Macaca fascicularis: one gene and its partner. The protein of the gene in region 1 interacts with the protein of each later gene in a biochemical or structural test. Links are inferred from orthologs where the notes say so. Each region holds a gene or a part of one and is shown in the gene's direction. Other genes may lie near its edges.

Region 1 (6,487 bases):
ATCTTATATACTGCTTCCTGAAACACTTGAATAGCAGTTTTGACCCTTGTTAACAGGAGAAGGTGGATTGGAGTGCCTTATGAAAGATCTACTAAAAAGAAAAACAATAAAGCAGGCACAGGAAATCTAGAAATAGAATAGAACAAGACCAAAGAAGGGATTGAGACATGGATCTACATGCCATGTGGATCCACTCATTTCCTACGACGATCTGAAAATTTGGCTTTGAGTTTCCTGACAGCCAAGGCAAGAGTAACAATAGCACTTAAGACAATGATTCATGCTATCTGGAAGAAATAGGAATATGTGTTTTTCATAGGGGTGGGGGAGGGAGGGAAATTTCCACATATGAACATTTGGTACATAATTAGTTTTGGAGGTCTCTGGGCTACCATTATAACTAACAATGATTACCTTTCTTTATATGGCACGTAATACTTTGCAGAGAAATTTCACATACTTTCTTTACACAAAAATCCTGTGAGGTAAGATTCGAGGATATTATTAAAGCAATAATGTAACCCTCATTCATTTATCTAAGAACCTAGTCTAACTGGAAACACAACACAAAAAGTAGAAGATAAGCAGAAAGATCTCTGAGATAGCAAACCAAACAGCAGTAAGTGTATGCACAGAAAAGAGCCTCTCACTCAGAACCTATATTCTCTTATTTAACCTGAAATTCTAACAAAGTTAATTTCCTTCCTAAAACCGCAGTGGATTAAAAGTAACAAAACAAAAACCATTACAGAGAAGCACTCTGAAAGCCTCCTAGATGAGTACACAGGAGAGCAGAGGCAAGAACTAAAAACAATCAAAAGAGCAGTTAGCGCAAAAACAGAAAACTCTAAACACTCACTAAGTAGGATAAGCTCAGACTCCCTCGGCCCTGGATCCTGACCCTCCACGAATCAATTCCTCACAAGCCACCTCAGCGATCTTTCAGGAACTGAAATGTAATCCTGCTTGCCTGCTCCCAAATCTTGGCAACCCTTCATTGACTTTCCAGGCTCATAAGACAAAATTATTATTTAAAAACGGTCCACAAGGTCTCCTGAGGTTCTGATTGCTGCCTGCCTCTCCAGCTTCATCTCACTTCCGCCCCACCTGCTTGGGCCTTTTGACATTTCCTTCCCTTTACCTGGAAGTGTCTCACTGCTGCCTCTCCTGGGGGATCTGAAATGTCGTTTCCTTAGAAAGCCTTACCTAGTCCTGGAGTCTACATTAGATTTTCCCGTGCACCTTAGCGCCTTTGCAGTTGAGAATTTATCACAGTTGCACTTTGTCTGATTGTTTTATTTGTTTGTTTGTTTTTTGAGACGCCAAGGCTGGAGTGCAGTAGCGCGATCTCGGCTCACTGCAACCTCCACCTCCCGGTTTAAGCGATTCTCATGCCTCAGCTTCCCCAGCAGCTGGGATTACAGGCGTGCACCACCACGCCCGGCTAATTTTTGTATTTTTAGTAGAGACAGGGTTTCGCCATGTTGACCAGGCTGATCTCAAACTTTTGGCCTCAAGTGATCTGCCGTACTCGGCCTCCCAAAGTGCTGGGATTACAGGCGTGAGTCCCTGTGCCTGGCCAGTCTAATAGTTGAATACCTATTTCCTTCAGCCTACTGTGAGCTCTGGTGGAAAAGGACTATATCTGGCCCGTACATATGCCAAATAAGTATTCACTGGAAAAAAAAAAAGAGTAATGTCACAGGACAAGCATACATCTTCCTAGTATATAATCTTAAATTTTACTAAAAGATCTTTTTGAGAAGGTAGCTGTTTTATTAAAGAAAAAAAATTACGAAGTACAATGCAGAATTCATACGAATATTAAAGCTAAAACAAGACTTTCAGAATGCTTTAGGCTACACCCCCAGACTTCTCTGGAGACATTGTGCTTAAAATACTATGGAAACATGGTGTGGTAAAAGATGCATTTCCCAAGGGATCTGGATAACCAGCGCTTATCCTCATTTTACTGGAGGAGAATATATGTCTGGAGAGGGCTTTGCAAACTACTAGGCTTTGTGCGTTATAACATTATTATGAAAAATCTGTGTTTCTAAGACGGGGAATGATTTAGTTATTGCATTGCTAATTACAGGTGGGGCTAGCGCCAGAGCCCAGGCCTCTCGGGGCCTGTCTAGCCCACAGCTTTTCATTAATACACAGCACCTGCCACCTGGTCCCTGCTGCAAAGGGTGGCCTCTCGAGCTAGGAGCCATATCTAGGGCGGATAGCCTATGCTAGGCTCAAAGACACTCTCAAGTTCCGATCAACCAGAACTGAGGAGCGGGTAGGAAAACCAAGCCGAGCCTTCCCCGGCTTCACAATCCGCAGGCTCTCCGCTGTCCCTGGCCGGACTGGGCAGTTTCCCTGGAGAACTGCAGCCCGGCCCGCTTCGCTCAGGCCCAAACCCGCGCGGCTCTCCCCCTGGCGGGGAACTCGCAGCACTGCGGCGCATTCCGGAGACGCCGTCAATCTCCGGATTTGAAGCGCAGGCGGTATCTAAGGGGCCTGGGAAGCGGGAAAGCTCGGGAGTCACTCACGAGAGAACACCCTGCAGGAGTCGACCCAGCTGCCTGGCTTCGTGGTCCTGCAGCGTGGCCCGTTGCTTCGCAGAGAGGTTGGCCACAGCTCCTGGCTAGGAAACTGGGGACCCCTTGGTTTGCCACCGAGGAGGGTGGAGGTCCCCGTCAGTCCCCTCGGGGATGCAGCCGCATTTTCCCCTCCGTGCGTCTGGCCGGGAACCAGAGGATAGGGCTGTGGAACACAGGCAGGGCGGGCCCTTCGAAACCCGGACGCGAGGGGAGGCGAGAGGCGCCGGTGTCCCGCACGCCCACCGGCGCCGAGGCAGGGGAGCTGCGGCCAGCTGCCCACGGAGGACGCCGGCGGCGCCGCCGCCTCGGGCTCGCGGGCCGCGCGCGCACGCGAGTGGGCGTGGGAGGCAGGGGCGCTACTAGCAGGCGGCGTGCGCGCGCGCGCTCCCCCGCGCCCTCCCTCGCAGGCCCGCCCGGCCCCGGCGCGCGTCACGAGGGGAGAGCTAGAGAGCTGGAGGGCGGGAGGGAGGGTGGGGAAAGGGGGTGGGGCCGCGAGACCGGAGGGTTCCGAGCGGCGGCTGCAGAGCCGGAGCTGGGCGAGGGCGGCTGCGGTCCCGGCGGCGGCGGCGGCGGCGGCTGCGGCGGGAGAAGATGGTGGCGCTGGAGGTAGCAGCGGCTGGAGCGGAGCTTTATTCCCAGGCTTGGCACCAGCGCTGTCACTAGCGCCGCCTGCTCCCGCGGGCCCGCGGACCCAGCTGTCAGGCAAGGTACCACAGCCAGGGAGGGGTGGGTGAGAAGGGGTGCCCGGCGCTGATGCGGCCCCCGACGGAGCCCGGGTCCTAGCCAAAGGGCGCCCCCGGACGCGAGAGGGGCTGCCTGGAACAATAGTGCGGAGGAGCGGGGGCAGCAGGCGACATCCAGGGGGCAGTGCCTGGAACCATCAGCCAGCGAGGCGGGGTAAGGCGGCGTTGCGGGCGAGACGGCTGGGGTCCGGTGCCCGCTCAGATGCCAGGCTTCGGGCGCAGCAGGCGGGCCTGATGACAGTCATGGCAGGAGTGAGTGTGTGAGAGTGTGTGTGTAAAAGGTATAGCAGAGGGGATGGGGGTGGCGGACGGAGGTGTTGGGGGGTGACATTTCCAGGAATCCCCGCTAGGATCCCTCATCTCTCGGCTGACTCTCCTGGAGAAAGAATGTGATGATGGAAACGGTGAGGTGGGCAGGATGCACTTGGTGTGTGAAGTGTGGAGGGAGGCAGTGGGGTAGGGGCGGGTTTGTAAAATTCTGTGTATGTGTGTGTACGCGTTTGGTTGCATCCACGTTCCCCAAACAGCGCCCCAAACCCAGAGATCTGCCGCTGCCCTGACTTGATGTCACCGGCTGAGACTGTGGGACAGTGTTTGTTATTTTGACCCTGCAACTCTGAGCACAGTCTCTGTTCTGCTCCTGCGTGTGGATGGCCCAGTGTAGGGATTCTCGCTTCCCCTTCCTCTGGCCTCATTACATGGGGATGTGGAAGTGAGCATGTTGCTTTGAGGCACATGGCAGGGAAATAGGATAACCGTTACGCATTCTGGGCTTGCTGGTGTACCCGGTTTTGAAGGGGGCTTCCATCCTCTGATACTACTTCTCTGCTTAGCACCTGTTCCATAAGGGTCTTGTACTCCCTGACTCTGCAGTTTCTATTGTTTTTCTCTTGTCTGACCTGAAGGAGAATAGTGTTGAATGATCAGATTCCTCTTCCTGTCCCCACAACTTTCAATGCTAGCTAGACCTTCTCCTTCCACATTTAAGCACTGAAAACCTTATGGCTAGAGGATGGATGGTCTTTGTATTGGTTCTTTTAGAATGAACTCTGGAGGTGTGTACGTATAGAGAGATGCGGCGGGGCGGGGGGCAGTCTTTAAAAAAGAAGAAAAATATCACACGGAGAAGTGTTTGGTGCCCACCTGGTCAGCGTCACACAGCCAGGGCGTTTTCCTCAGGAAACAGGATACTTTATTTCTACTGCTGGTGACATCCACTCTCCCAGCTGTCACAATAGCTAGGTGGTGCCGTGTATCATTTGGAAACTGAAATCTCCCAAGACCCACAGTGATGGGGTCCCAGGTCAGTAAAGTCCCTGCTTTCCTACCTGATATAGCCCACTAGTAGGGAATTGGGAAAAATGTCAGGCTGGCAATACCTCACCCAGTGGGAACAAGGACACAGAAATGCATCGAGTCTATGGCTGTTTAATTGTCTCTGCGTGGTAAAGATAGGTGTGTGTAGGGTTGGGTAGAGATAGGCAGGGAGATGGCATATTCATGTGTATCCAGGGCAGTGTGATTCCTCCTCGCCTGTATTTCTCCTGCGGTATTCACAGGAATGAGTATCTCGACACTACTGTATTAAAATGTTGTATGTCTAGCTTAACCTGTTTAGGACATATTTTAGTCATAACACCTTAAATTCTACTGCATTGCTGTCGGAATCCAAACTGGCTGCACGGTTCTCTTCAAAAAGCCGGTAGCAGTCATGGCTACACAAGTAAATATACAACATGTTGGCACCAGAGGTTTCTTTTTCTTTTTTAAAATTTTTGTTTTGCATTCTTTTATGGGCAAAGGTTGCACGATATCGTTGTTTCATTGAAAATAATAAAACTAGGGCTATCCACATATGCTTTTTTTCTTCCCATATATCTTATTTAATGATGTATAGACTAGGTGTTCTTGAAGTGTCAATGTAAAGTAAATTTCCCCATGTTCTTCAAGTCAAGCCTTCTAAGATTTTAATATGAGGTTGGTTGTTGGCTCTCATCCAAGATTTAAGGATAGATTTGTAAAAATGAATTTTGAATCTTAGTTTTTTACTCTCTTATTTGTTATGCCAAATCCCTTTCTGAGAAAAGTACTTATGGAATTTAAAAGCCATTCTAAGAGGTTTTGGTTTAAAAAAAAAAAAGTCATCATCTTTTATATTTGCAAGTAAGACCAGGGATGTAAATGTCTTACAAGAAAGTTTAATAATATGAGGAATTACCAGGTAAATACACTGTTTAGAGAAAGAGAAATTACACAGCAGCATAATCGATGACTCAGGAATCAGTGATTTCTTTTCTAACATAAACGTGATCATTTTTATTTTTATTTATCTTTTTGAGACAGGGTCTTCCTCTGTCGCCCAGGCTGGAGTGCAGTAGTGTGATCATAGCTCACTGCAGCCTCAAACTCCTGGCTCAAGCAATCCTCCTGCCTCAGCCTCCTGAATAACTGGGACAATAGGCACATGGCACCACACCCAGATATTTGTTTATTTTTTTCAGAGATAGAGTCTCGCTACGTTGCCCAGGTTGATAGTTTTAAAAATGCAATATCTGGCTTTTCTAAAGATTGGACTGGTATAAGGTTCATGAGACAGCTCTGGTAAATGGTTGTACCTTTTGCTGTGGCCTGCAGCAAGCCATTTTTTTGTGCATGGATGCCTTTCCTTCACTTAAAATAGCATCAGTGCTTTTCTCTACCATTATTGAGTCTCTTAAGGGTTTTTTTTTGTTATTTGTTTTGTTTTTTGTTTTCATTTTGGTTGTTGTTATTGTTTGTTTGTTTCAGAAGACTTAGGAGTAAGAGATATTTGAAAATGACCTCTGGGTCCAAAAGGAATTAACTGTATGTAGTACCTTGGGGAGATAGGACTTTTAGCCTACAAAGAAGAAGTAATTGTTGCTAAAACTGAGAGAATTTCAAGCAATGAAATCTGAAGTTAACTCTCTGGGTTACAATAGTTAATTTGCAAACATCTTGCCTCCTGTGTCTCAGACCCACTGTACCTAGGGGTATAGGGGACAGGGAATGTTGAGAAGGGTTGGAGATTCAAAGAATGCTAAGTCTTAGATCCTGCCCAGAGGTGAATCTTGGTCTAGAAGGAGAAAAGAGGAATATGTGTTACTAACTGTAAAAATAGTGAAAAAATGA
Region 2 (4,809 bases), on another chromosome or scaffold:
CTTGGGCAATTTATGTGGCTTTATACCTGATTCATTTGGGTGTATTTTTTATATTCATCTAGACATATATTGCTTTCAAGTAGTTAGGATTTTATTTGGACAGCAAATAATACCAGTCAAATCTTTGTGTGGATATTAACTCCCCCATGCTATTTCAGTTGCTTTTCTGTTTCTCAAATTAATGATGTGCAAATTAAAGATATAAAATATAGAATTCCCATTTAATCACCAAACATGCAAAACAAAAAACCCAAAACAAACAAAAAAACTCTATTTGAAGAGTAGTTAATAATTGTATGTCTAAAAGAAATACATTATACAGTAAAAACTCACTTAAAGCTGTAGTATTTACAATGTGTCCAAGAGTTTAAGCTAGAATTCCTGGTCAAGCAAGTTGTGTCAGTCTTGTAATATTGCTTTTTCCAGACCTTCAACCAGGATAGATTCAGGTAATAGAGACACAGAGACAGATGGAAATATAGAGCAGTGTATAGTCATCAAGCCAATGCTAGAACAAATTATTTAATCTTTAGACTATTGTTATTTTGCTGAAACATCATTGGCAAGATTTACAGAATTAAACAAGAGGTGCATTGATAAGTCATTCTAATATTATTCTAGAATAGAAACAAGTTACAGTTCATCTGTGAAATCCTCACTTAGCTCAAATTTTCAGGACAGAAACAATATGGAAGGTTTGTAGTTCAGGGGCTTGCCAGGGTCCCTGAGACTAATGATGTCTGGTTTTGGTCATTGCAGAGATTGAACTTCAGAAGCAGAGCATCTGGTAATGGCCATGTAACCTCTGAAGGCCTTGTCTGGGCCACACACAATTTATCTGCCAAATCATAGTGTATAGTCCTCCAGTGTGTTACACAATCTGGCAGAATTGTGGTAGAATCCTTTATTCATTGTCTAGTTACTCATAAATTGCACCCACTATATAATAATAATTAATCCATCCAAGGATTTTCCAGATTGGCTAATCCCCCTGTGTTCTACATCTTAGATGATTTTTTTTTACTTACAAAATGAATGGTATAAGATGGGATAATTGATTTAATAATACATTTAAAGGTGGTGGTCCAGATGTGGTAGAGGGTTTCTGGCCAGGCTACCCAGATACAGACAGATTTAGCCAGAGAGAAAGCTATATATACATCTTCATAAAAACAGATTCACACAGTGCTTTAGATGCAGCATCATAGAGGCTGGCCACATTTTATTCATAATAACTAGTTTATTTTTTATTTTTATATTTCTGGTATAACAGGTGTGATCAAAGTTTTTCTTGAGCACAACAAATCCTGACACAACACTTTCCCCAAATTAAGTGCTAAATTACATACATGGAACAAACAAGTTCCAGAGGCCGTCCCTGATTTTGACTGTCTGGATATTCTGTCTAGGCCAATGTAACATTCATTTTATAATTGCAGTTGTCTGCTGTCTATATCATATTTCGAAATTTTTCACGTTGAAATTGTTCAGAATCTTTCTCTTCAAGTCAGAGGCCTGTAACTAGCCTGTAGAAATATTTATAGCAATTCAACTGATTATTTTTTTCTAAAATGAGAAGCAAAATATGTAACAACAAATATTCTGATTTAAGTTATTCATTAATTAATGTGACTAATAACAAAAGCAATCGTATTAAGTAATGAATTCTTCAGATTTCATGTACAGAATTTGGTTACCACATTTATATTAAGCAGCAAAGAATTGCTACCTTTCTCAGGTAAGGCTGACCTAGCGAAAAATTGGCTTGGCTATTGGACATGCTATAATTGACCAGGGTGAATTGGCCTAGCAGTTTATATGCACAGGAATCTATTGTGATTGATAAAAACCTTCAAATCTTTGACTTCCGTGCACTCTGTTACAGTTGTATGCATCTACTTTAGAATAGAGTCTTAGTTTTACCATATGAGATTTGATTCACATTGCTATTTTCGTAGTACCTATTTTTGTCTAAGAAAAGGACGTTAGATTGTACCTCCACTGATCTTATCAGAAAATTCTTTAAGTATTAGGCAACTCTCACACTCTTGGTGGCAGAAAATTGTTTTCCAAGTTCAATTTTTCATTTGAAAGCTTGAATTTTATCATTCATAACATATGCTGTATAATGGTTTTTCTTGAAGTGACACATTTACTTCATTCATTTTAGAGAAAATATCCACCAAATACCCAAGTCTGAACAACCATAGTTTGTCTGTTAGTCATTCTTTCAAATAAAAATGGTGTTACATGAAGCGAAAAGCAACTAATTCAGTTCCCAACTCAAAGGTTCACGTAAGTGCTTTTCCTGGAGGCAATGATCATACTTCAGAGTGAACCAGAAGTACTTTATTTGTATTTCCCATTTTAACACACAAAATGTTAGAAAGTCTTGCAGTCAAGGGTCAGATTTAATTAAATGAATAGTTTTTACAGCTTCATTAAGGATATTCTTAAATAAATTTGGGTTTTTATGCCTTTTCCTACAATTGCCTGGCAGTGAAATGTTTTCTACTTCATGAATTCAGTGATTACTATTATTGTTTTGTGTCCTTGCCTTAATTTGTGCTAAGTGCCAGGAATTTTACCTAACCTTGTTTTATACCAAATTTGGTTCCATATTAAAATGGAAATGGAAATGTCAACACAGTGAAAAAGACATCTTAGAATTATTATGAAAATAGTTTTGAGCCCCCATGTCCTCTCAAAGTGTCCCAGGGACCACCACAGGTCTACAGATCCCACTTTGAGGACTACTGACCTAATATAATGCCAGCGTTGGTAACCATTGGCATAGTTAAGAATTGCAATACTTAGAATTTGTATTTACAACTAGAAGTGTTAAAACAACATTCCTCATATAGAAATAATTTAAGCATATCTATATATCTATGTTTTATTGGTTCAAATGATTTATTTACATAACCCATTTCTGCTGTTCAACAGTATAACAAATAATTGAATAACAATTTCATTAAAATGTTTACATATTTAATCACAAAACATGTTAATCATTTTATGATGTTGCTACTACTCTATACTTTCAAAATAATTAAAACTAATATGAAGTGGCCACATAGTCCTAGAGACATATAGTTAATACCTTGTGTTAAATATAAACGCACTAAGTAAATCCGATATAATATGCATTTAGAATAAACGTAGGTGAACCCCACAAGGCTGATAGAACTCAGAAATAAACTCAACATACAATGATACTGCTTGAACCAGAATATCTGAAGTTTTTATATTTCCAATTTGTATGTAGTAGATGCTTAAGTGGAAAATAATGTTACGATGACTTATTAAGCAATGAAGTCAGCACAGTTTCTACTTGGACAGAAATTCTGACTTTATATTTCTTTTCTCTCCCTAGGTCTGATAGCTGTTGTGATTTTTATCTTGCTTTGCATCACTGCCATAGCTGTTCGCATTTATCAGCAGAAAAGGTTATATAAAAGAAGTGAGGCAAAAAGGTCAGAGAATGTAGACAGTGCTGAGGCTGTTCTGAAAAGTGAGCTTACTATACAAAATGCAGTCAGTGAAAATCAGAAAGAGTACTTCTTCTGATTGGCAACTATGATTTAACATAAACTTATGACAGTTTGTTTTAATAGCCAGGGGCTCTCAGTGGACAAACGGATGTTCTTACACTGAATGTACAGGCAATGGGTTTGCAGCACTGCCATCTTGCCATGTCCAGTCTTGGGGTGGCTCCACCAAGCCTCGTCCAGTGATATATTTCTCATAGCATTCATTCTATGGAACAAGACATTAGATATTGCTGTTAATTTACAACTGTTCTGGTATGATCTAAAACAAGTTTAACCTGCTTAATGGCTACAGTTTTTACATGTGAAAACTGTAGCCTTGGTCTCTTAACCATGTAATACATAAGTTTTGTTAGAGGTGAAAATTAAATTTGGACTATAATGACCTTGCTTTATTTGAGAACATTTGCTGTGTTTGCTTTTGTCTTCCCATGGTGTTATTCATAGACCTGGAAATGCTTCTCAGATCCTGTTTGGCCGGTGTTTGCATCTTCAGTGGCCACAAGCATTATAAAGCCCTTTGCCTTTCTCTGTATTATATTCAATACAATACATCAATAGTCTTGAAAAATGTTTTGTTGTCGTTGCTTTGTTTGTATTGCTCATTATTCTATTTGTCTCTTCTTAACATTGTTGAATACATTTGGTTTTGAGTGTCAGACTTCAACTCTGAACATACAAGTTGTATTTAACAAGACTCAAAGTGCAGTGGTTGTTAGTATGTAATGTCTTTCCTTTTAAAAAAAGTTTTCCAATTGATTTGCTACCATTGTTTGTTGGTGACAGTACTTAAGACCCTGAGTAACGCCAGTTTCCCAAAGAATGTAAAATGTTTTCAACTAAACTGTTGATATATTTAAAAAAGTTCTTAACACAGCAAAAAAATTATTTTTTAATTTACAACTGTAATACCTCAAATGAAATATACTTAGGAGAATATTTTCCCCAAACCTATGTCAGTTCTTTATTGGTTTACATTTCTGTTTTTCTGAAGTTTATCACAAACTTTGCCTTGATCTTCAATGATTATACTTCACGAATCATCTTATATATTACCAAAAAAGAGGCAAATTGAAGTATAGAGCTCCATTTCCCATTCGGAAATATATACCCCTTCAGGTGTACATTTTGCTGTGCATAGACTTCCAGTACATACTTTTTGAAATATGAGCTGCAACCATCAGTGATCTACACAATCAGTAATTAAAGAGTGCACACTCTAAGGGGAGATAGCATATTAAATGATCTACGCTGAATT

The links. The genes of interacting proteins can lie anywhere in the genome.
Region 2: the proteins of APBA1 (region 1) and CNTNAP4 form a complex in vitro, tested with the Homo sapiens proteins (2 studies listed by BioGRID and IntAct, with this or other methods). The link is inferred for Macaca fascicularis from reciprocal best matches to the Homo sapiens genes APBA1 and CNTNAP4.

What each region holds. Positions count from the first base shown.
Region 1 is NC_088389.1:100,367,008-100,373,494, reverse strand, and holds the start of APBA1 (amyloid-beta A4 precursor protein-binding family A member 1), read left to right. Parts: upstream 1-2,480; 5' UTR 2,481-2,620; intron 2,621-3,066; exon of another isoform or gene 3,067-3,491; intron 3,492-6,487. UniProt on the Homo sapiens protein: Putative function in synaptic vesicle exocytosis by binding to Munc18-1, an essential component of the synaptic vesicle exocytotic machinery. May modulate processing of the amyloid-beta precursor protein (APP) and hence formation of APP-beta.
Region 2 is NC_088394.1:72,371,192-72,376,000, forward strand, and holds the end of CNTNAP4 (contactin-associated protein-like 4), read left to right. Parts: intron 1-3,376; coding exon 3,377-3,570; 3' UTR 3,571-4,122; downstream 4,123-4,809. UniProt on the Homo sapiens protein: Presynaptic protein involved in both dopaminergic synaptic transmission and GABAergic system, thereby participating in the structural maturation of inhibitory interneuron synapses.